Lonchura striata: one gene and its partners. The protein of the gene in region 2 interacts with the protein of the main gene of each other region in a pairwise test. Links are inferred from orthologs where the notes say so. Each region holds a gene or a part of one and is shown on either strand. Other genes may lie near its edges.

The links.
Region 1: the proteins of ESR2 (region 2) and PLSCR1 interact in binary tests that used the Homo sapiens proteins (3 or more experiments, as listed by UniProt). The link is inferred for Lonchura striata from reciprocal best matches to the Homo sapiens genes ESR2 and PLSCR1.
Region 3: the proteins of ESR2 (region 2) and NRIP1 interact in a two-hybrid assay, tested with the Homo sapiens proteins (2 studies listed by BioGRID, with this or other methods). The link is inferred for Lonchura striata from reciprocal best matches to the Homo sapiens genes ESR2 and NRIP1.

The regions. Positions count from the first base shown.
Region 1 is NC_134612.1:13,964,909-13,973,543, forward strand, and holds the start of PLSCR1 (phospholipid scramblase 1), read right to left. Parts: upstream 3,309-8,635; 5' UTR 3,230-3,308; intron 1,602-3,229; exon of another isoform or gene 1,522-1,601; intron 933-1,521; 5' UTR 911-932; coding exon 904-910; intron 149-903; coding exon 80-148; intron 1-79. UniProt on the Homo sapiens protein: Catalyzes calcium-induced ATP-independent rapid bidirectional and non-specific movement of phospholipids (lipid scrambling or lipid flip-flop) between the inner and outer leaflet of the plasma membrane resulting in collapse of the phospholipid asymmetry which leads to phosphatidylserine externalization on the cell surface.
Region 2 is NC_134608.1:7,192,353-7,199,977, forward strand, and holds the start of ESR2 (estrogen receptor beta), read right to left. Parts: upstream 3,555-7,625; 5' UTR 3,216-3,554; coding exon 3,201-3,215; intron 2,025-3,200; coding exon 1,552-2,024; intron 1-1,551.
Region 3 is NC_134604.1:8,744,277-8,752,207, forward strand, and holds the start of NRIP1 (nuclear receptor-interacting protein 1), read left to right. Parts: upstream 1-4,623; 5' UTR 4,624-4,904; intron 4,905-5,103; exon of another isoform or gene 5,104-5,165; intron 5,166-5,710; exon of another isoform or gene 5,711-5,737; intron 5,738-7,931. UniProt on the Homo sapiens protein: Modulates transcriptional activation by steroid receptors such as NR3C1, NR3C2 and ESR1. Also modulates transcriptional repression by nuclear hormone receptors.

The sequences.
Region 1 (8,635 bases), on a different chromosome or scaffold from region 2:
GATGATCACCCTTTTCCAACCCCATATTCCCCATGCCTATTTCCTAATGGTCTCACAGATCTGTAATCAAGCCACCCACCTTGGTAAGTCCCAGGGACTGACTGAGGGGAGCCATAGGGCATTCCAGGTGCTGTGGCAGGTTGAGGTCCTGGAAAAATGAAAATATGCTCTGAGTATGGATCATTTCCTTCTGCCCTGGGTGAAGGATCCCCAGCACTGACTCCCTTTCCAGAGTAAACATAGAAAAAAATCTAGGGAGCTGTTTCCTGTATAGCAAAAATATGCATCAAGATCATATTTATGAACAATGCATGCATCAGCAAAATTTAATGGAGTTCTGCACAGGATGTCACAGAATCACAGAATCATTGAAAGGGACCTCCTGAGATCAGCTAGTCCAAGCCCTGCCCAAGCAGGGTCAGGTCACTCTGCCTGGGGCAAAGATGCCTTTGTTCATTGATATTTAGAAAGTGGCTGGAATTCAAAGCATTGCCAGGAACTGACAGGCTGCCCTCCAATAGGATGACAGTGAGCCATTCCCCTCTGTGAAAAAACCTTTTCTCCCAGCTCCTTCAAGTTCAGACTATACTAATGCCTCACCAGCAGATGAAGAGTGTTAGGGATTTAAAAACATTTACCAGCTTTAGTTTATAACCAGAAATAACTTGAATTTCAAGATTTCTAAATTATTTATTATTTTTACTTAACTTCAGAAATCAAGATCTGAAATATAAGCTCTGCATTTTGTAAAATATTCCATTTTAAAATGTAAATAATTTCAAGTTAAAACATTCATACATATTTCATATAATTAGAAGGTAAGCTAATAGCTAAGCTAATATTGCTTGAATGTGCTGTCTTTGATGTTAGCAAAAGTTGGCATTTTGGTTATATTTTACTCACCTTGCATTGTCACAGATCTGCTTGCAGTTCTGCAAAACAAAATTTTTGTTTCATGATTTTTTAAATATATGATTTCATACAAGAGCTATTCAGAGTTCTCTATTATTGATAAAAGATATTTGCCTCTCTAAACTGTATGGGAAGGCAAAATTACAAATACTAGCAAAAGTAAACTTCAATATGTCAGCTTCCTTCTAGGCTATGTCTGAACTACTACTTAAGTCTGAGCTTTCTATGCCTACAGTCATGCCTTGAATACCCTGAAATCATCCTCAACTCAGAAAAGCATTGGGATGTGCAAGACTCCATTTTGCAGCCATTCAGAAATATCCTGTAATTCATATGAACAATTTACTGCAGTAATTTTAGGCACCTGGCTCAGTGTATTGATGTTGACAAAATCTGTTCAGGTAAGCCCTGCAGCAGCCATTCTACCACCTATTCAGCTCTTTAAGCTACTCCATTTCTCTAGTTGTACTACAAAATAACACATATCCAGTATTTGGATAACAAAGTGTAGTTGCCAAAAGGAATTAAAAAAAAAAAAAAAAAAAAAAAACCACAAAAACAACCTAACCTAAAACAAAACAAAGCAAAAGCATACAAAACCCCACTTACTGGTATGAGCTTAAACCTTGAGAGTTATCTCTTTCTCTGGGATAATGAGTGAAGCAAGACAACAGCAGCAACTATTAGAGAGAGATCCAAAACGCTCAGGAGGTCCAAACATAGAACTGCATAAAAGAATAGTACAGGCACTCATTCTTAATAGGATTGAAAGATTTAAAATTAAAAAATCAGTCTAGTTGTTCTCTAAAAATAATCCAGTTCAAGTGAAACCATGAATATAATTTGTTGGTTATGATTCTTCTGTTTCTTTCAATGAAGATGGTTGCTCAAAGCTGGGAAGCGAAACTGAAAGCAATTCCTTCTTGCTTTTCTTTCCACTTTTAATGCAGATCTCACACGGTGATGTCTAATGCAGATTCAGTTGCTCTTAAAACATTCCTTTTTAATATACTTTTTCTTCTACTTCACGAACTCTTCTTTACTAACAAAACCCCATCCTCTTACACATACTTTAATTGGGTTCTGGTCATAGGGTAGATTGGAATGTAGTCACTGTATGAATGTAGGAACATCACAAATTATAGAAGAATAAAACTAGCAAAAGATCAGTTTAAGCTGTGAGATAGTCCAGCTACATGAACATCAGTGAAATACTGAGAATTACAACTAAACCCTTTGGTAAAGGGAGAATAGAGACAGACTCACACAATTTATTTAAAAGAAGGGCTTTGTAGTCATCCAGAATCTTTCATTGTCCCTACAACTACACACACAAGCCACTGTACAATCTAGTATTTAGAAAAGGTTATTATGCTCTGTAGTAGGAAGCAATAAAAATTTTACAAAGCTCAGCCCTCATTTCATCCCTGGATCCTTTTTTATGAATGTCCATGTTTCTTTTCGGTCACTTTCTCATTTTCAGAACTACACAACACAGCTACAGGTCCCTTAGCCTGATGCATGTCACTAGATATACTGCAAGTAATTTAGACATGTCATAATTATGTTAACTATAGGGCTTCTGCTCTTCATCAGAAAAACAGAATACTAGCATGACAAGTAGTTTCATTTCTTATCCAGCTCACTAAAACAATGGAAGGAGCACGTTAATGTAATGTAAGGTCCCAGGAACAAACATGCTTAGTTATATAACAAACCAGGCCCGGCCCTTTCCAAGTTGTAATATTCAAAAGCAAGGACGCTGAATAGCCAGGAGGTATGCAATAATTCTGCTTTTGAAGTTTGTTTGTTTGTTTTGGTTTTTTTTTAATGTTGCATTATATTAGACTGTTCAGCCCCTGGATTTGAACCCTGACTGCTGAAGTATGCTTAAAAATCATCTCAGCAATCCAATTAAATTAGTTCGTTTTGTCCAATGCTAACAAAATATTATTCAGAGAAGGAATTACTCTTTTTTTTGGCTCTGATGCAGTTGGGTGCCCTCTCAAATTACAGTGACTTTTCTCCTGGGAGCGCCTGGGAGCGGCGGCCGGGTCGGGCGCGGGGCTCAGCCGGGCGCGCACCAGCGGCTGCGGGAGCGGCGGGCGCAGCCCTGCCTCGCCCCGGGGGCTCTCCGGGACACCGGAGCTGCACCGCCCCTCAACGCCGTCCTTGCCAGCCAGATCCTCCTCTAAAGCGATAAATTCCAGCTCAACCCGCACTGCCCAGCCGCACGAGCGCGGGGCTTCTCCTCGTCAAGCCCCTGCCCCAGCCCTGCGGGTCACTGAGCATCCCTGAGAGGAAAACGCCGGGATACCTGAGAGGAGCGCCTGCAAGGAACCCCGCTCGGCAAGGAGCTCCGGTGTCCCCGTGTCCCGCTGTCCCCGTGTCCCGCTGTCCCCGTGTCCGTCCTGTGCCGCTGGGGAACTCCCACCGCTGCAGGGGTGGGAGCGAGGGCAGGGCTGGGCTCGGGGCAGGAAATCGCTGCCAGCCCTGCCGAGAAACTCCGGTAATTCAACAGTTTCGCTATTCGTGGCATTTACTTTTTTTTTTTTTTTTTTTTTTTTTTTTTTTTTTTTTTTTTTCCATTTCTATCAACAGCAAAGCCGATTCAGTCCTTTTAAAATTAATTAATTAATGTACTTAATTTCTGCCCTTTAGTCAGAGGACAGCAGGTTGCATACAGGTAATAACGCCAAGTTCTATGTCCACCCTGAAAGGAGAACAAATGTTTTTGGAACAATTTTACCTTGTTTATAAGGCAGGCCCTCAGGAGGAAAAATATATTTGTGTGGACTTCATAGTTACAGGAAGAAGAATATACAATACTAAATTGTTTGGGAAACAAAGGACTTGGAGAAAGCTGGCCCTGATTACAAGCTCTGATGAACAGATCTTCTGCATCCTCTTTTGTACATTCATGTACAACAGATTGGAGCTGCTGGTGTCCACGTATGGCAAAGGAAAGTTTCTTCAAAGAAAACTGTATTTCATGTAAGGCACATAAATCTGATCACAGTAATTGGTGCATGCATAAAACCCAAGATTGGGGATTCAGTAAGTGCAGCTCACCTTCTACATCCTCAGTAGTCTTTGTATTCTACTTCCCAAAATAAGGCCTCCATTTCAATACTGAACTTTCCACTTAAAACAAACAAAGAAACAAACAAAGAAACAAACAAAGAAACAACCCAAACCTAAACCCCAAGCTATTGTTCTAGCCCCTGCACTGGATTTCACCTAAGCACCAGATTTGACAGGGATTTGGGGATTTTATTTTGCTTTTTTCCTCAGGTACATAAGAATCTAATCTAAAGCTGACTAGCATTTTCCCACACATCTACACTGAGTCCACTAAGAGGATTAATAGCAGACACCAAGAAATAGGTTTTAAACATCTCTTAAGAAATAGGTATAGAATTATTTTGACATGGTTGGGAAATTAGAAATACATGGTAGCTTTTGATACTACCCTTCTTTTTTACAGGAATATAGCATAGTTATATTTAGCTTGGTTCAGACTTATACACTGAAATTCAAATTGTATTGCTGAGCAAACATGACTTTTTGACCTAGAGATGAACACTGTTTCTTAGATGAGACTATCATTGTCCTATCAGAAAGAACAAAGACAGCAGCATGTCTCTTCATTTCACACATCTATAAGTATGGAAGAAACCTGTTCACCTGCAGTGGCCGAAAAAAAGATGCCATGATTCACAAAATACAGAGTAATTTATCAGTCTTTCCCATATCAAATAATGTCTTTTCTTATCTCGCTAGGATCATTGATATAACTGACAGTCAGTACTTTTTTGTTAGATCAGGGGGTTGAAATGGTCAGTACCTTTTTATTTTGTCCAGTGAGCAGATTTAATCATCAGGTGAATGCCTAAAACAGTAAGAAAGGAATTGTTTCAAGAGAATAAGAAAATGACCATGCTCCTAGTAATTTAGTCTTTTAGGTTTAAGCATGTTTACCTAATAATAAACATTCTTTGTAGATTCTTGATCCCGATTTCTAGGATTTCTATGTTGTTTATGGTCTGGATATTCAGAATATTACTTTCTACTGCTTTAAGTTCTGATGCTCCTGATGTTGGCTCCTCATCTGATCCTGTGGTGCCCAGCACCAGAAGTGGGACCAATTCCTCCACCCGTTTCTCATGCAGAGGTCTCCAGTAACCTGGAGCTGGGTTGATGAAAGCAGCTCTCATCTTTCTTGCTAACATCCCCTAAACAGCTTCTTTTCTCTCTTCTCTCTTCTTTCTACCTGTGTGGGGGGACACAGGAGGAAGTTCACTCAGGGCTGAACACGAGAGCAAACAGCCTTTGTACAGCTCAAACTCAGGCATTTAACCTCATTTAACCTCAGGCATGGCATTGTTTGCACTGCTAAAGGAAACAAAAGTGGTTACCAGGGGGTTTGCCTTCTGTGCCTGTGGACACAATCCCACAGAAAATTCACTTCTCCAGGAAAGCAAACCTAGAACAGCAACAGACGTGGGAGATGAAGAGAATGATAAGTGGAGAGTAGTTGTTGTCTTTATAGAAAGGACATAGGATGTGAAGTTTGAGGCACAAACTTGAGGGGGCTACCAGGAAATAAAAGAAAGAACAAAAGAAAAAGAAGTAATAGAGGCGAAAGAAAGAGGGAACAAAGAAAAAGATTCCTCCCAGTGGCAGGGGAGCTGCACTGGTTGGAGCACCAGCCATGGGGTACTGCTGTTTTTCTGCTGTTTGCCATCCCTCACATATGCACATTTTGGGAAAACCTTTAATTTTATCGAACAGTGATAATTCCTTTAGCTTACAGTGCTTAGGCCTCTATTCATGTGTGCAAATGGTTATCTTAGCCTTAGAAACTGTGGGCCTCAGCAATTCTTCTGGAAGGTGATTTAAATATGCAGAAGAATTGGCAGGAACATTTAGCACGTCTGTATGAGTTTTGGGGAGATGTCGTAAGTCTGAATCAGTTACACAGATTTAAACTCATCTGTTCTCCCCTGCTACAGTGCAGGGGTCAGAAAAAGACATCCCCCTCATGCCCTGTGCTGAAAATAAAAATTATTCCACTTTCTCATACTGAAATTACAGTGTTAGTTTTATTCCCGACTTTTGATGACAAAATGATAATGACCTGATACAATTCGCACAATATTTAGAACTTGCTTGGAAAGTTTAGATTTAAAAGATTGCCTCCAACCTAACTATTCACATTTAAGTAATCTTCTCCAGAATAAGTTATTTACCTTTTTTCCATTTATAGTACAGGTTACATCCAAACTAGTAGTGGTTTTGAAAGCAGGTAGGCAAATAATTCCAATAGGTGAAATCTACATTTTTATACAGCGTGATGAGTCTAGCATGAGCACACCACCAATGTGACAGACATGATGTATACACAGTAAAAAGCAGTTTAAATCCAAGCATTTAAAAAACACATAAATTTCTATTCTTGGTATTAATATTACTATTTCTTTGATGTGGAACTGGAGAAATTGAGTCCATCCTGCTAACATTTGATAGACATCTGACATCCCCTGAATCTCAGTGTAGCTCTCCTTTTGTCTTGGTAGTTGGGCCTTTGATAAAATATGTATTCATGAAGCCAGAAGAAGCAGCTAACACATCATCTCACTATTAAAGATTTGTAAATATGTGAAATTGTAAACAGGCCTGTTTGCTTATTTGATTTCATTTAACAATGTCAAGTCAGTCATCAAGCCTGCAGTCTAACAAATGAGGGTTAGGTTTTCCTTCAAGAGGGAAACTGGGTGAAAATGGGTTTAGTTGTTGTAATGTCTTAGTTAATTCAACATCCAGAAAACATCAGTGGACAGTTATGAGTTCCAAACCACATAAAGTAACATCCCTTATATTTTTATGTATCCTGAGGAGCAGCATGTCCCCCTGTGCTGTCACTAACAATCGTAATAATCACTCACAGGGGAAAAGCAATTCCTGCAGAGAGCTGTCAGCCATCACCATCAGTCCTTCCTCGAGATACTCAAACACAAGGAGAAAACAACAACTGAACAACAATGGAAGCAATACCACACATTTGGTTTTGCTACTAAATGTTTTTGTGCCACAGCAATTTCTTTCTCAGACTGAAAAGGGAGCCAAATAAAGTTTTACTGCTGCCAATCATGCAAGGTTTTGAATGTCAGCACTGTAGCTGAAGCAGCATAAGCTGCTTTGCAGACAGAAAATGGGATATTGGGAGGAAAAGAGCAACTCGACATAAAGAAATAGGCCATTACAGTTTACAGCATTTAGGATTAACTGTGGTACCAACAGTTTAAAATGCAGCTTGTGCAAATCCTGTTTTCTGCTAAAGGGATATTGCTACTGCAAATAGGTACTTACAGGGAACACTTTCCTAGGCATGGCTTTGTTCCTAAAAAGTAAAAATAATACCAGCCTAATTAATGAAATACACCAAAAAATCAAGTCAGGACAATCCCATCCTGGGCAGACATCCAGCTCTGTATGTCAAAGCTGGCACTCTGAGCTCCCAGGATGCTCAGTTACCTTTGTAGTTTTTGGGGAGAATGGAATCCAAGTTCTTTTGTTTAAGCAGGTTGAATCATACAGTAGCAGTGACGTGTTAGTGATCCTTGAACTCTCCCTCCCTGCCTCCCTCCAATGCCTTTTCTCACAAGCACACACCACGTGTGGGTGGGATTCATTGGCCAAACTACTCTAGACCCAGACTGCTGCCCCACTGTGGAGCTGGAATCATATAAAGCAGTTATGTCAGGAGACTCCCCTTGGAAAATGAACATAAAACAAGGAAGCCTGTAAGGAGCAGCCCTTTGCCATGGTGCACAGGGTACCTCTGGCCTGAGGCCAGGAGTCCCTCTGCTCCCCTTGCCCATCCTCTGGAGCCCCTGCTCACCAGTCACACCTCTCTGCAAAGAATGTAATGCAGCACCCAGGCCCATGTTTGTTTTCATTTATAGTATCTTTTGAACACTAGCACTGCATTTGAATTCAGCGTTATGAAAAAAAATAACACCTTTTAACCTTATGCTCTTGATTAGGCACCCCTGGCTTGTTCAGGAGCTGCTGATAAAGGAGAATCTGGGTTTGTTGTGCTGTGATATACACTGGCACTTTCATCAACATGAAGAGAAATAGAGCAATGCTGATGCACAGAACCAGGCTGAGGGGAGGATGTTATTAAAACCAGTGAAATCCAAGTTAATGTGTTTCATAACAGACTCATCTGACAAAAATGTACTGGGACCTTGAGGCTTCTGTTAATTAAGAAGATAATTAAAAAGTTGTAAATGTAGGACCACTAGATCTGCAAGAGTTTATGAGGTGAATTTACAGCTCAATTAAGAATGAAAATTGAGGAAGCCCAACACCAGGCACTGCTTCTTACACAGAGAGCTGGGAGATTTCGGGAGGTTTGGAAACTGGAGAGGGGAAAACATAGGAAAAGGAAAATGGAAAATATTTACATCAGATATAAATCCTGTTCACTATTAAGACTTAGTCACCCATGTCAGGTACTATAAACTCTTTCCTCACACTGATTACCTGGTATGTGGAATAATCACACATGAAGAAATTGCTCATCAAAGCAGTGGGCCCCATGCTCAGGCCAGAGCCATTTCCCAGAAATTCTGAGCAGAGCTTTCAGGAGGTTCACATTTAGTCCTATTATTTCCCAAATCAAGTTTGCCAGATTTGTTACTCCCAGCCCAGA
Region 2 (7,625 bases):
AAAAGGAATTAAGGTTTCACTTAAAGTAATAAATCACTGATTTTCTCCTCGTCATCCTTCTACTCTGAGCAACGTGGTCCAGGGGAAAATGTCCCTGTCCATGGCAGAGGGGTTGGAACTAGATGGTTTTTAAGACACCTTTCAATTCAAACCATTCTGTGAAAAAGAGATTATACTCCAGAATTTCTTTATTCTCTTTAAGTTAGGTCATCATCAGCTGCATGAGAAATAGTCCTTATATATCCATACAAATAGCTGATGATTATTTATTTAAACTCCAGTGGGACAGGTTTGGCTTCCCTTCTGTCTGTTGTAGAGTGGGCACTGCAGAGCATCAGACAGGGTGCTCTTGCTCCTGGGTTATTCCAGCTGCTATTCCAACATCTGGACAGCTTCAAACCCTAACCTTCCCAGGGCTGTCTAAGTTTTGGAACCTTAACCAAAGTGAAAAGAGTTTGGATTACCCCTGTTCACATCAAAGCTGCTCGGGGAATTCTTCTGTATGTAAGTGCTACCCAAAGAGTCTTTCCCAATCCACACACCTACACTGAAAGCACATTTGCACTCCATAAAGCCCACCCATTGCAGAAGGAGTGTGGGTAGTCTCAAAAATAGCACAAATCCTTTATTAACTATTGAACTTAAACTGTTACAGGACACACTATTTTTCATACTCCAAATGACTGCTGAAGTTAAATAAGGAGGCCTATGAATAAACATACAGCTGCTGAAGCAGGAACAGCACCTGCAGACTCCGAGCTTTTATCCACCCAGCTAGTGTTGTGCCCAAGAATGGAGCAATTTCATCAGCTGATGATCCAGATGCTGATTTGGGTTTGCAATATGAGTAAACGTGCAGAACAAGAATGTGCTTTTGCAAACAGACTTTCTTGTCAGCTGCAAATTTAGCCTGTGACTCTGCTCTTCACAATAATTTTATGGAGTTAGTTGGGAGCAGCAGCAAGAAACAAAGTCAGGCTTTTTCAGCAGCAGCCCCCTTTTAATGTCCTGCATGCTGCTGTGTGACTGCTTATACTAAAGCCAAAAATCAAAGAAAACATTTCCCTTGGATTTCAAGTTAACAAAAAGCCTTCACATCTCTTAGAAGCAGTAAAAAAAAAAAAAAAATCTGGGTAAAAATTAACTCAATATTATATGAAAAGGCAAAAAGAATTAGTATTTCCCTCTTTCACTCAAATGACTTAATCTGACAGAGCAGAATTAATTTTGTTACACAAAATAGTACTTAGCTGTCTTGGACTTTTATTTGCACAATGTAAACTGCTCCCACACTGAAGATATTTGTAATGCTCTGTGTTGGTGTATAGTACTCTAAGGAGGTATTGGAAAAAAACCCCTAATTTTAGAAGTTACATTAAAAACAAACACACACACTCCCTGAGTGATTTAGTGTCTAGCGGAGTTACTTTTTGCGTCGTTTTGTTTTTCAGAGGGACCAACACTTTAATTTGAATGCAAAAAGAAAAGAGTTGAGCTAAGGAAGCTGTAAATAATACCCGGGCAAGTCTGAAAGCAAGAAGCAGCACTGACCTGCTCCCGGGCAGCACTGGCTCCATGGGGCGAGCCTCGCACCAGAGGCTCTTGGGCTGCTCTGGGTACAGCAGGGAGGACTGGCAGTGCAGGCTCAGGGGGGACAGGTGGCCAGGAGCAGCCCACAGGGCGCTGGGGCTGGAGGTTTGCCTCGCCGTCACGCCCTCCGCGTCCCCAAAATTGCTGCCAATGTTGTAATTGACCATAGCGGGGCTGCAGAACGCCACGGTGGAATATTCGTGCCTGTTTTCCATGAAGGATGAGGGAATGTAGAGTGGGCTGTGCTCTGCTGTCAGCGTGGACTGGTTGCAGTTGTAAGGGACTGGAGAGATGACACCAGCAGGTGAGTTTTTAATTTCTGTCTTATTGCATCCAATATCCTGAAGTGGAAGCAACTGAGAAAAGTCCTTGTGAGAAGATGTGCACAGGGACATTTTGAAGCAAGATTGAAGAACGCTGTTTAAATATTCATCCTAAGACAATAAAGAATAAAAAAAAATAATTAAAAAATAAAAAAGCTCTGCATTAAGTCTTTTCTATAAAAGAAAAAAGGAACCAGTAAACCAGATAACATCTTGTGAAAACAGATTACATATAAAATGCACTTAAATAGTCAATGCACAAATTTACAACCTTTAAGAAAAAGAAAGCTTTCTAGAATATCCTTAAAAATAAAAGCTAAAACACACGCTGAGTTCAGACTCCCTTAAAAAATAATAATTTTAAGAACAAAACTATTTGAGGTCTGCTTGAAACAAAGATGAAGGTGACAACTTGGATCTTACCAGGAGTTACAACCGGGGTAAATCTGCACTCTATCGGAGATAAAATTACCCCAAGGTCCACAGCTATAGAGGAGAAATCAATTCTCTTTACAACAACTCACCATCTCCTGTTGTTAACTGCACTACAGTTTTCAGCCTTGTACTTCAGGGTGCTTCCCTTTTCCATCACAAACACGCAGCAGCAGATATTTTGAAAATAGACACACACACATGCATATCCCCCCCCTACACATTCCAATTCCAGAACTCCACTGCACATCCCTCTATGCAGTGGATGTCAGCAAGGTGCAGATTCATCTCTGAGAGGTTCCTGGGCATGGCAGCTCTGAACAGAGCCATTATAAAAGTAGAAGTCATAAAACGCAGGTATTTCCAAAGCTGACAACAAAACTCGAGTGATTTCATAAGGTCCAGAAGTTTCATAAGTCCTAGCAACTCTTCATCCTCATCCCAACTACCCCTGCCCTTTCTCAATTGCCCACAGTAATTACTCTTTGCCAGATTTAGGCATATACAAATTATTTAAGAGAGAAAAAAAACCAAAAAACCTTCCAATATTATCCTCCTGAGACAGACCCCTGTCCTAGAAGCATTATTGTACTGTAGCATTAAAAACATTTTTTCTTTATTCTTCACTAGGAGTTTCATCTGCAGTTCATTCCAGCTCTGAAGACAGACCTAGTTTGCAATTCAGAACAATTCTGTATCCAAAACAGCAGCTTTCAGCCCCCTGAACTGATATTACAATGTACTTTTGCATGTGCTAATAAGATCCTAACATGAGAAACCACAGGATAACTAAACATTCACCCACTGCTTTGCTATTACACAACTGGTAAAGGTATAGATGCTAAATGTTCTTACCTTTTTTTGCCTCATATGACCATAAAGCAAGATGAGGAAGAGTCAAGCATGGGTTTGTTGAAGTACCAGCAACCTCCCTGTCCCCAAAGCTCTCAGCCCCATGGCATTTCTATTGTGCCACCTTAGAGTATTGATACATTTTTCTCCTTTAGGGTGAGGACAGAGTAGAAGCATTAACAGAAATGTAAGAAATAGTCTTTTTGACTAAAATGGACAGTTGGGAGTCCTTCCTCCCTCCTCACTCTGCACTCTGGTGATGAAACTGAAGATATGTGTAGAAATAACCAGAAACTCATTTAAATCAGCTCAGGCATTTTAAACCCAGCTGCTGTTTTTTCCTTTGTGGGAAACAGGAAAATGAGACATCTCAGCAGCTGTTTGTGTCCAGCAGTTCTTGGACTGGAACTCCAGAGCAGTCAAAGCAGGGGATTCTGACCTCGCCCCACACACTTCATCTGCCCCCACCAGATGCTTCACAGCCTCCTCCAGGAAAAACCAGGCATCGTACAAACTTCACTGCAAAAAAACCACTGATAAACTCAAAAGGTGCTTTCACTCCCAGATTAGGGGGTGGGTCATTTCTTAGAAGGAAATGATGGAACAAAAAAAAAAAAATATAGGAGTATTTTCAGGAGTTACTATGAGTGAGCCCAATGAGCTCACTGGATTCAGCACACATTTAAAGAGTCACTATAAGCAAAGCTGTATTCCCCTTGCAGTCTCAGAGGCTGCAGGTATCCAGGATGAGCATGGGCAATTCCAAATTCTGCCAGAGAATCTGGAATGCCCAACAAAAGCTGTCTGTGCTTACTTTGTCCCTCTGCCTCCTTTGGAAGGGCACACAGCACAGGGGAACCCCAAATCCTTTGGAGGGAAGGACCTGAGCAGCATCACAGCAACATCTGTGTTACAGTCAGCTAGAGACATTCTGCTGTGCCAAAACTGAAAAATTGATTTAGCAAATAAACGCCTGCATGCTGTAGAAGCAGGGAGAACACAGAGCTGCTACTATGGAATTTTATGAACAGGAATCAGCTGAGATTTGAGTCATGTTTTTCTACAAAGAAAATCCACTAATGTGCGTGTGCTTAGCAGAGGAGATATTGTCTCCACAGCATTTAGAAACGTTCACAGAAGTTACCAGCAGCAAGAGTGAAGCTTGTTTTAGGGGAAGAGTTCACACAAGCATAAGAAGTAAGTACAGCCTTCCTGAAAAACTGCTTATAAATTATTTACAAAAAAAGGAGACTCTGGGGTCCAGCAGGTTAAAGAAAACTGCACTCATGGTCTTCAGCAGGCTGTAATGTAGTGAAAAAATAACAGTATTGATTTGAGATTATTAGCTTGGGTAACAGAAATAGTCCAGGCACAGTAGACTATGGATCTGCATGAGATCTCATTGATCACATTTCTTCACACCCACACAATTTAAAATGAAACTGCTCAGAAAGTCCTCAAGATTGGCTGCTGGTCTGTGAAGTTGTGTCTCTTAAAGAACTGAAGACTGAGGGAAACAGATCTCAAGGTCTGAGACTTGAGGAAAACTCCACAAACACCTCAGAAGGAAGCACAACCACATTTAATACAAGGATTACAATAAGTAGTGAAATAGGCTAGTAAATTTGTTCCATCCTGGTATAATGTCCTCATATCTTAAACACTACTCACTAAACAGAAATTAACTACTTCCTAAAGTGAACTTCTGTCCCAACACTCCCTCTTCCTCTGAAAAAAGATTTTAAAAGCAAGATTCAATGATAAAATACATTATTTAGATGCAGTCTGTCAGCTCTTCACTAGATCTGTACCAAACACAGAAACAAAACAGGTGTCTATTATTTTTATATTCCAGTCTCCTTGGAGCCTGCAAATATTTTAATCCACTGAAGTCAGTTTAGCTTAGTGAGATATTCAACAACTGAAATGCCATTATTAAGTAAACAACAGCCATTCTGGCCAGTTCCTCGAGTAACACTTACCATTCACAAATCTAAGACACTACAGGCAGGATTCACTTCTGACACAAAGCAGCTTCATCAGCTCCAGTACCCTGAGGATGGCACCACTATCCATGAGGAGGTCAGGAAAAAACAAATGTTATTAATGTTCTCCACCAAAAAAACAAAAACAAAAAACAAAAACCAAACAAAAACAAACAAACAGAAAAAACCAACACAACCAAAAAAAACCCAAAATCAACAACAACAAAAAAAAAGGACCAAAACAAAAAAAAATAGGTTTTTTGTCTTTGAATAACTCTACAACTGAATGTATCTCAAGTCACCATGCAAGGCATGCCAGGTGAGGCACAAGGACTGGTTTAGATGTCACAGTCAGACACATGGGTAAATAATTAAGCCATCTGACGTATTTCAACAAACTTGAAAGCCTCTTATTGCACATTACCTATACCAAATACCTCTTTAAAAGCCTTGTGGGGAAAAAGAAAACTAATTAGGTTTTTTTTTTCTTAGTTTTATGTTTGTTTGATTGTTTGGTGGTTTTTTTGTTAGTTTTGGAAAGGGGAAAAATAGGTAGAGAGGGTAGGGTGGCTGCTTGGGAACACAATACAATAGCTTTTCCTAGAAAAGTACAACACTTCAAAAAGCAAGGAGTGATGCATGTTCTCAGGCACTCTTCCATCAACATACACTACAACGTGCTTAGCATTTTATATATATTTAGAGTAAACATTTTTTGCAGTAGAGAATCAAGATGACCTTTTTCTCTGCTAAGCTTAGACTAAAGTGCAATCATTGAGCCTTTGGGTTTAATGGAGGTGATTCAGCAAGTGTTGCATTCCACCACCCCACAGCCAAAGATCCTCAGTTATCTCACAGAGCATTCTATTAATATTCTGTTAAGTTACATTTTACACAACTCCCTGCAACAATAAACTGAATCATCTCCTGGAAAAGTGATTATTAAAAGAAAGTCATTCCTGATGCGTATGATACTTGTGCTTCAGGTTTTGTGACAAACTTATTACTCATTAAACACAGCAGGGCCAGATATTGCCAACAGAAGGCAGGCAAGTAAACAAGTTTATTATTACCTGAGAAGCACTGGATGCAACAAGTAGGGGACAGATAGGGAAGCAAAATGCAAACACAGCTATCTGTCCAAACTTCAGATATTGTACTCATTCCTCCAAAATTAATAACCTGCCCCCAATGACATCAAGAATTACTCTAAATAAAATCGTGCAGCTCAAAATCACACAGGAAAAAGTACTTTGAAACAAGCAAAATGAGCACTCTTTAGTCTATGCTAGCCTTTAAGTTACTCAGAATACTGGCAACTTGTAGATTATTCTAAACATTCATAAATACATTTCAGAGCTCAATGGATCTGACATGGGGGCACCAAAGGAACTGGATTTGTTCCACTAGAGGAGTAAACAACTTTGGTCTTCTACCCTTTAAAGTGGAGTTACAAACACAAGGAATCCAGACTCTTTTTACGGAAAGTGCGCAAGTCAGGAGATCACAGCCACATGCCAGAGCAAGGGAAATCCCAGTAGAACATGGGAAAAATTCTCCACAGTGAGAATTCAGTCCAGGAACAGGATACCCAGAAAGGCTGTGAAATCCCTATCTTTGAAAGATTTTTAAAAATACTCACTTTGAGCAGGATGCTTGATTAGTTGCTCTCTAGATCTCCCTTCCCATTACTAAAAAATATTTTCAGATCTCAGTTCAAACTAAATTTAAGTTTGACTTTACTAGTTTTTAGCCTTTAAATTTGTGGACCATTAAAATGTTACCAGATCTGAGAGTGGATTTAAGCTTTCTATTATTTGCATCTCTTAGGTATGTTTCATAGACTTTAGGGTTTCAGACACCAGAAATGAAAAGCCACTGTCCTGCTCCAGAATACAAATGCAAAACGAGACACTTCAGCTCCTTTACTCTCCATGTAACTATTTCAAAGTACTGTGTGGAGTTTTTGGTCCAAAAGAATATTTGTATTTCATGATGAAAATTTTAGTGTGTTCCATTAGAAAAGAGACATCTGTTTAAACTATTACACAAGTTATAAATACAAGGATCTGAGTATTTTGTGATCATGCTTCAATCTGCAACAGTATCATGGCAGAAGCCAGTACAAAGGATAGCACCCTTTTCCAGCAAGAATTTAATTATTAAAAAAGAAAAAAGTATCTCCTCTGATGCAAGAAATGGCAGGAAAGAGCAGCATGGGGATTTAGATTTTCACAGATATGGGATGACCATCTGCATCCAGCATCTCTGAAGCACACTTGGATCTCTCAGCACATACCAATTAGGGAAGCTAATTCTAAAAAAATTATTCTTGTTTTGATTTCCACACCACAGCTCTGTCCCAACAGCATGGAATACACCTGCTCCTTGGATCCAGGAGGAATTAATTTTTTAAATTAATTAATTCAAGCCTTCCTTCAAG
Region 3 (7,931 bases), on a different chromosome or scaffold from region 2:
CTCGTGTTAGCCAGCCAGCAAAATGGGGCTGTGAAGCAAAATTGTCACTGAGAGTAACTCCTGAAAGCAGAGGGTGAGAGAGGGCATGATTCTTCAGTCCTCTTTCAATCTCTTGCTGCTGACATGGGGAATTCAGCTTTGTCAGAGAAAAATTCTGAAAGGAAAATGAGTGTTCTGAACAGCTCCAGCTGCATGCCTATAACCTTCTCAGACATTATCTTTGCATACCCCCAAGTAGGAGCAGTGCTTGTGCAGTGCAGTACCTGCTCTGCTGCTGCTTTCTCCTGCCAGTTGATGAGCAGGGACTCCAGCATGGTTATTTTCTGGATGTGCTTTCACACTACCAGGAACGTGACTCATCAGAACAATGTTCTCAGAAATATAATCTTCATGTTTGTGCAAGTGGGATGAAATGGAAGGAAATTCAGGAGTACAGGATGCTCTCTTCTGGATAAAAAAATCCTGGTATTTTGTTCTGGTAAAATAATTAATGTAAGGTAGTCATATCAATTTAGCGCCAGCCCCTTTGACTCTTCTATAAAAGGTGTCAAGTAGTGTTTATTTCCTGCCACTAAATGTAAGACCTGAAGTGTTATTCCTCATTTAGGGTCAAAAACCTGCAGACCTCTACCCCAAAAACACACATGGCAAAGTAAGCCTCACCCTAGCTCGTGCCTCAGAACAGATACAGCGTGCTGGAGGCATGGCCAAAACTCACCAGATGCTGCAAGCATATGATTCCTCCATGAGAGTTTATATGGTACAGCTGTCTTTAAATGTTTCTGTAATTGAAAAGACTCTAGCATCTGGTCCTTTGCTTATTACTCTTAGAATAAATAGTCACGATCTGAAGTCTACTTTTAAATAATGCAAGGAAAAAAAAAGTTAATTTGAGCTACTAAGGGTACATTCCTCTCAGATGACCTGCTTGGAAGTACTTGTAAAAATGGAAGTAGACTCTGTAATTAAAAAAATGAAAAAAAAAAAAAAATAGGAAGTGGAAAACAACTCCAGTAGGGAATGATAGATGTATGCATGCAAATGCCTTCATAATTTTAAATCTAGGTAGATGAAAAAGCACTGGTGTGTAGTTTTTATAACTTTCAGCCATAGAATATCTTACTCTTCCTTTTACACATCATTGTGTCATTCAACTCTACCACCAACAGCTGCAGACTTGCTGCTGTCAGGAGGAAAACAGGAGATGTCCTGTGGTACCCCCCTGCAAGAACCCTTCCCTGGACCAGTTCTTCCCTGATAACACTTGTAAGGCTCCCACTGATTTCAGGTACTCCCAGACAGTACCCCTGAAGAACAGCAGAATTTTGCACCTTACTACTTCAGATTTATGGATGAACACTGATATATGATGATCATTAATTTAAGCAAACCTCCTTTGAAGTCTTTTATTGAATAAACAGGATTCATCATAATTCCTTTTTTCTTTTTATTTTCTATTTTTTGGTGTGTGTGTGTGTGTGTGTGTCTCCCTAAATTCTGGAATAACTAGGTGATTTAATCCTCTGTGAAGGCACCTTTGGAATGGTGGCTAATCTGACATATTACGTGAATTGAACTAGGCTGAGTCAAGGACAGAATTTCATTATTTGTCTATGTAAGGCTGACAAACTATTTTAGAGGAAGATTTAGTCTGGAAATGCATTTCTGTAAAGCTTCTCGACCACAACCTAAGCCTCTCATATCATGATTGGATGCCATAAAGCAAGGCCTTAATTATTGTGATTGAAAAAGGTAGTTTCAGAGTGGTTAGCTTTTTGAGAGGCTGAGATAACCTTAAATAAAAATCAAAATAAAAGCAACTGTAGTTCTCCCAAGCTCTTCAAAGCACCTTATGTGATTTAAAAATGAGCTAGCATTAGCTTAAAAACATTTGGGAATAATAAAATAGCATTTGCATTTACTTTTTGATGATAATATGTATCTTTTTACCATATGGCACACACCAATGTGTTTTGTTTCAGTAAGTTGAAGACAAAGTTTGCTACTGAAGATGAATCCTTGCTTATCTTTTTTAAATGTACTATTGTAATCATCAGAATTATCAAAGATAAGTTGTAGGTACATCAACATTTATTTAACCATTTTTTAAATGGTCAGACAGATTAATTTTGTTCTTCAAGAATGTTAGAATCATAGTTATATTTTGGTTTTGATAGAAGTTTTCCTAGGTCAAAAATGCATTAGGATATATTTTTTTAAATATATAAAAGAAATGGTTTGCTGATATTACCAAAGTATGACACCAATAGCTCTCCACTAAATGTTTGCTTTTCTGGGAGTGAGTTCTAATGTAAGCTCTATAATAAGTTTCTCCCTTCCAAGACTGATGTAAAGGTAGTTTATGCTTCCTTGTCACAACTGGCCTTCCATTTAACATCATCTTATAGCGATGAATTCCCTTTGAAAAAAAATTGAGCAAAGTGTCCAAAATTTTGTGATGTCTGTAGGACAGTGAAGGTATAGACACCACCCACAGATGGTGGATTGGTACAGCCATGGATGCTCACCTTTTATGTTTGGGGAGTGAGAGTGTGTTTGGGTTTGGTTGAAGAACGTTCAGAAAGGACCAACAAGTTCACATCAGTACTTTCATACTTCTTGAGAGATGGAATTTACTACGTGATGCATTTTTTTCCTTTACTTGTACAGGGTATTTATTCGGTATATTGTTTGAATTCTCATAGTTAAGTAAACATGGACTAGCGGCACAATTCATTGTGATACAACTATTAAGCAGTGGAAACAACCTACTAAATCTTTATGTTTTATTATTTAATACAGTCTCCGTTGATTGTATCTTCTGAAACTTGTGTCCTCAAGCAACTATATGTTACCAGACAACAATCATTTTAACAAATACTCCACACACACATTTTTTTTTTATGTTGCTTGTCCAAGATTCCTCATTTTGTAGGTCTCTCATCTACGCAATACATTCCCTAAGGTTAAGAATGAAAGACGTCTCTACTACAGACACTCTTGATTGAAATAGCAGATAAATTGCTGCAGTAATGAGAAAATTTCCTTTTCCCCAGATAACTCAGCTGCTTAGCATTGAAAAAAATTTGAGATGAAGATTCTTTGTGAAATAAAAAAATTAGGGATAATTTCTTTACGATCAAAATTTGCTCATGAGCCTATAATGGAAAGGAAGAGAAAACCCATTCTTTTCATGGAAGTACAAGTAGGCTATATTATGAGACTTATGCTCTTAAAAAAAGGGACTTGTATAAACACTGTGACATGCAATGGCTTTAGAAAATGCTGCTGCATGTCTGGAAGAAAGTGGTTAAAAACACATGATGAAGTTAACCTAAATCTTTCATTGGCTTAAAAAAATAGGTCAAGTAATACATTACTAGCTCCACTCTAAGCCTGTACACAATCTGTACATTCCAAAGTGAGAGGTTTTATTTAACATTCCTACATCTACTTTCATTCATGTTATCACTCAGTTAAAATACTTAGCTTTTCATAAATGTGACTCCCTTTCGCTTTCTTTAAAGTGGAAATTCCTGTGCTCTTTAATATTAGTCTCCCACTAAAAAGACGCTTGAATAGATCATTTATTTTACCTGAGTTTTAAAACTAAAAGGTGGGCATGTGTTAATGCAGTAATTACCATGCAGTTTATATGTGACTTGCAAACAAATTTGTTTCTCTTTCGTCAGTCTTTGACTTGTAGAAGTGAAGTATCATGAAGTATTCTGTAAAGCGTTTGGCAGACAGTGTGCGACACGGCGAGACGTTTGTTAAACACAGGCACACAGGAGGTGTGATGAAGGTCGCATGCACTTTGTAGCTTCGTTTGTACAGCCAAGCTCAGCCTGTATCTCTGCGTACTCTCTTTGGTGGCAGCAAAGTCTAAAGAACAACTTGACATTCCGTGCAATTTCTGACAGCAGAGCTTTGGGGGACGTCGCCTAGCAAAATATAGGGCTGACTCTTCTTGGGAAGCACTGCTCTGCTCCGGGTTGGTTTATTATTATTATTATTATTATTATTATTATTATTATTATTATTATTATTATTATTTCCCTCCTAAACTGCATTTATTTGCCACGTGGCTTTAATGAGCTGGTGTGCCCCCCCGTCCTCCTTCCCCGCGGCACAGGGAGCGCCGGGCAGGGATGCTCGCCGCTCCCGGTGCCCTGGGAGAAGGAGATGCGCCGGGAAGCGGGGCAGCGCCACCCCGGAGCAGCCGCAGGTGCCGGGGCCGCTGCCGGGAGCATCCCGGCTTTTCCTTCAAAATAGCGTAGTAACAACAACAACAATAATGATAATTATAATGATAGCACTGAACTTTCTAGCCCGTGGTTTTTTTTCGGAGGAAAGGCTGAAAACTTAAGCTGTAAACTGACAAGTACTAGTAGCACGAATAGCGCCCTCCCCCCTATTATTCCAAAGCAGCCGAAGGGGGAAAGGAAAAAGAAAAATAAAAAAAGGGAAAAAAATAAAGTGTTATTTATAAGCCACTGCCGTTTTCATCCGATACGGGTCCTCCGGTGCTGTCGCTCGTGAGTTTCCCGGAGGCTCTGCGATCTCAGTCAGGTTAATTAGAGGGGGCAGGAGGGGCTGGGATTCGCGTACGTGCGGGCGGCCGCCCTGCCCTGCCCTCGCCGCGGCGGGCGGGGCGGGGGGCGCATCCCTGCGTGCCCGCATCCCGCCCCGCCTCCTGCCGGAGGTTACCAAAGGGTTAAGAAACTTGGCTGGAGAGATGAATGGCGCGGCGCGGGGAGGGGCCGGGCTGCGCCGCGGCGGGCGAGGTGGAAGGCGGAGAGGGAGGATCGCGGCTGCGGGTTAGGCTTTGAAAGTCAGCCTCGCAGGCATTGCAGCAGAGCCCCGAGCCGCGGAGAGCAGCGCAGCGGAGCTCGGCTCGCCCCGTATGTGCGCGGGGATGCGCGGGGCGGGGGGGACGCGCGGGGCCGGGGGTGGCGGGAGGCGGCGCGTCCTGCCCTGCCCGGCCCCGTCCTGTCCTCCGGCCGCGGGGACCCGCCTGGGCACTCGGCTCCGGCAGCCGCCGCTCCCCGGGGCTCAGCGCCGGGACCGGCCGCGGCAGCAGGGCGGCGTGCGCGGCGGCTGCGGCCGGAGCGGCTCCGGGGGGCTCGGGCGGCCCGGCCGGGAGGAGCCGCGGCGGCCGCGGGGTGAGCGCGGCGCTGTTCCGCCGGGGAAATGGCCGAGCGGGGCCGGGCCGGGCCGGGGCCGCGCTACCGGGGAACAATGCCGGGGGGAGCCCGGCGCGGCGGCGGCGCCCGCGGTGCGGGCGGAAAGTTTGCCCGGCCGCGGTGGGTTTGGGGGAGCCGCCGGAACGGAAAAGTTACTATTCCGCCCCCCCACCGGGACCCGCGCCGAGCGCACGGCCGGGCCCCTTCGGCGGGGACCCGCGCCGCCCCGCCCGGTGCGAGCGGCGGGCGGGCGGGCGCTCGGAGCGCGGCTGCGGCGGGCGGGCGGGCTCGCTCCGGGGCTGCGGGCAAGGCCACGCCGCCCCGCCGCCTCCCGGCGCTGGCGCTGCCCGCCCGCCGCCACCTGCGGGCCCGCCGCCAGCCCGGGGCCGGCCCCGCGCGGCGCGGCTCCCTGCGCCCCCCAAAGATGCCTTCTCATCGCTTCGGGCTCCTTAGGGACGTCGCTGTTTCCCTTCTAGACTAAAGGTTACTTTTCCAGACGTGGTGGTTCTTTTTTTTTTTTTTTTTTGGTGTGTCCCCGAAGCCCTCTAAAGGTGAATTTTAATTTTTTTTTCTTCCTGCCACTGCCACCCTTCGTTTTTCCCTGCAGAACGTGTTGTTTGAGGCTTTTCGTTCTAAGTGTCAGCGGGTGATTAAGTTGGGAGGTAGTGAGACCTAAGGAAACGTAGTGTAGGCAAAACGGGGGCAGCGTTGTAGCGAGCAGACAGCCTTGTGTTTGTGCTGCACCTTTCTTCTTCTCTCTTGTGTATTCCTGGGGATTTACTGGGCTTTTAATTTAAAGAAGGATTCAGATAAAATAGCTTGACACATGTTGGAGGTGTTGGGAAAAAACAGCAGGATTTCTGGCTTTGGGATTATGTTGTTGTTAAGAAGGCTGAAGTGGAAGTTGTCCTCTTTTGCCTCATCTCTCTGGAATCTGGCGACTATATTATTCCTTGTTTTATTTTGAGGGGACCTGCTGCAGTGTCAGACAGCTCGCAGGCTGATTAGAATTTAACTGAGTCATGGCACTATAAATGCTCAGAGATACGGTAAAGCTTTATTTAACAAAGAGTGTGAATCCAATCTGTGAAGACCTATGGGGAGGAAGCAGTCACTTGTGGAAAGGAGGTGGTGTATTCCTGAGCGAGTAGGGAACATTTTCTTTAATACACAAATGCGATTTACTGCTTCTAGGGCTGACTGAACACATGAGAGAGTGACACATTAAGATGCCAGATGACAAAAGCTCTCTGAGCTGAGGATATCTTGTGGTTGGGATCAGATTTTAATGGTATCTGAGTAATTCTGCTCCATGGGTATCAGTAGCTAACATCTTGGAAGGCACAAGTTCTCATCGAGAACAGTGTTCAGGCAGCTTTGGGGTTTTCGCTATCTGAGGCAGCTGTTTTCCCAAACTTGTGGTAGAGAAGTTTGACTTGTTCTGTCGGTGGTCTCCTGAGATAGAGTTGACATGGACTCGGAAGGAAGACTGAGTTGATCATGAGTGAAATGCGAATGTGAGGGTGTTTGTGTTCTGTGAGTTCCATGGAGGAGGTAAGGAGTAGTGACTGCATGTTTTGGGCAGGGTGAAATCTGACCTGCTGTTAGACTGGCCTATGCTTCTGGGTTACCTAATGAGCAAGAGCTATCAATGGCTTTCAGGTTTTGTAGGCCATGCATGCACAGAATGCAACATGCAGTCAAAAGCCAAACCATGCTGGATTGAGGTTTTTGGGTTTTTTTCCCTTTTAGTCTTTTGGCAGAAAATTGCAGATGGAAAGATGCTCTTCTTCTCTGCTTCCCATGCTTGTTTCTTTTTCTAAAGTGAAAGGTGTGCTAAGCAAAATTTATTATAGTCATAAAAACTATGTTGATAAAGAAGTAAAAGTAAATAATGCTTTTATATTGTAAACTTAAAAGGGTGATCTAATCACTGGCTGTATCACCTGCAGTGTTTGATAGTTGTGTTTGGGATAAATCTGTTCTGTAAAAGGCATGAAGACATTTTTTTAAGTGATTCAGTTAATTCAAACATGAATTAACTTTATAATGCTCGTATTTGCCTGTAGTTTTGCTTATTGCAGGGATTGCTTAAAAGAATTGACAGAGTCCTGCTTGCTTAAAACTTATTTTGTCTCTTCAGAGCTAACTTTATTTTTCAGGCTTTGAGCATTGGCAGAAAGTTCATATAGTGCCAGCTTTATTATCATAAGCAGTGAGAGCACTGTTAATTCTACCAGCGACAGTGCGGGACATGACTACAATAAAAGAGAAAACCTGTTTTGCATTGAGCCCAGCACATGTATAAACTTGCCCAAGGCATTTCCCCAGGTCAGCTGTCCTGCTCTAGGGCTGTGCTAAAGACCATAAAGACCATAAGATCTTTGAATTATTATTTTAGAATAGCTCTTCAGAGCTCGCCTGTACTTCAAACCCCAGAAGTCTTGTGGTTGTGTTTCTTTTTCCTGTGTGTGAATGTACAGGGAATGGAAGGAATCCAGAAGAGAGCCTGGGGAAGTGTGGGGTTCCCAGCTGGGTGCTTGGTTTTGGGGGAACAAACCCCTTTTTCAGGGGGGGCTTTGGTGGCCGCCCTCCCATGTGTGGGGCCTGTGGTAGGGCAGGGATCATCTCCCACGTGCTGAGTGATGGGTTAGGTGGTGAGCAGGTGGCAGGGTTAATAGGATAGCTATCCTAAAATACCCTTTTGGGACAAGAAGTGTAAATTTTGAAGTATAAATCATTGCT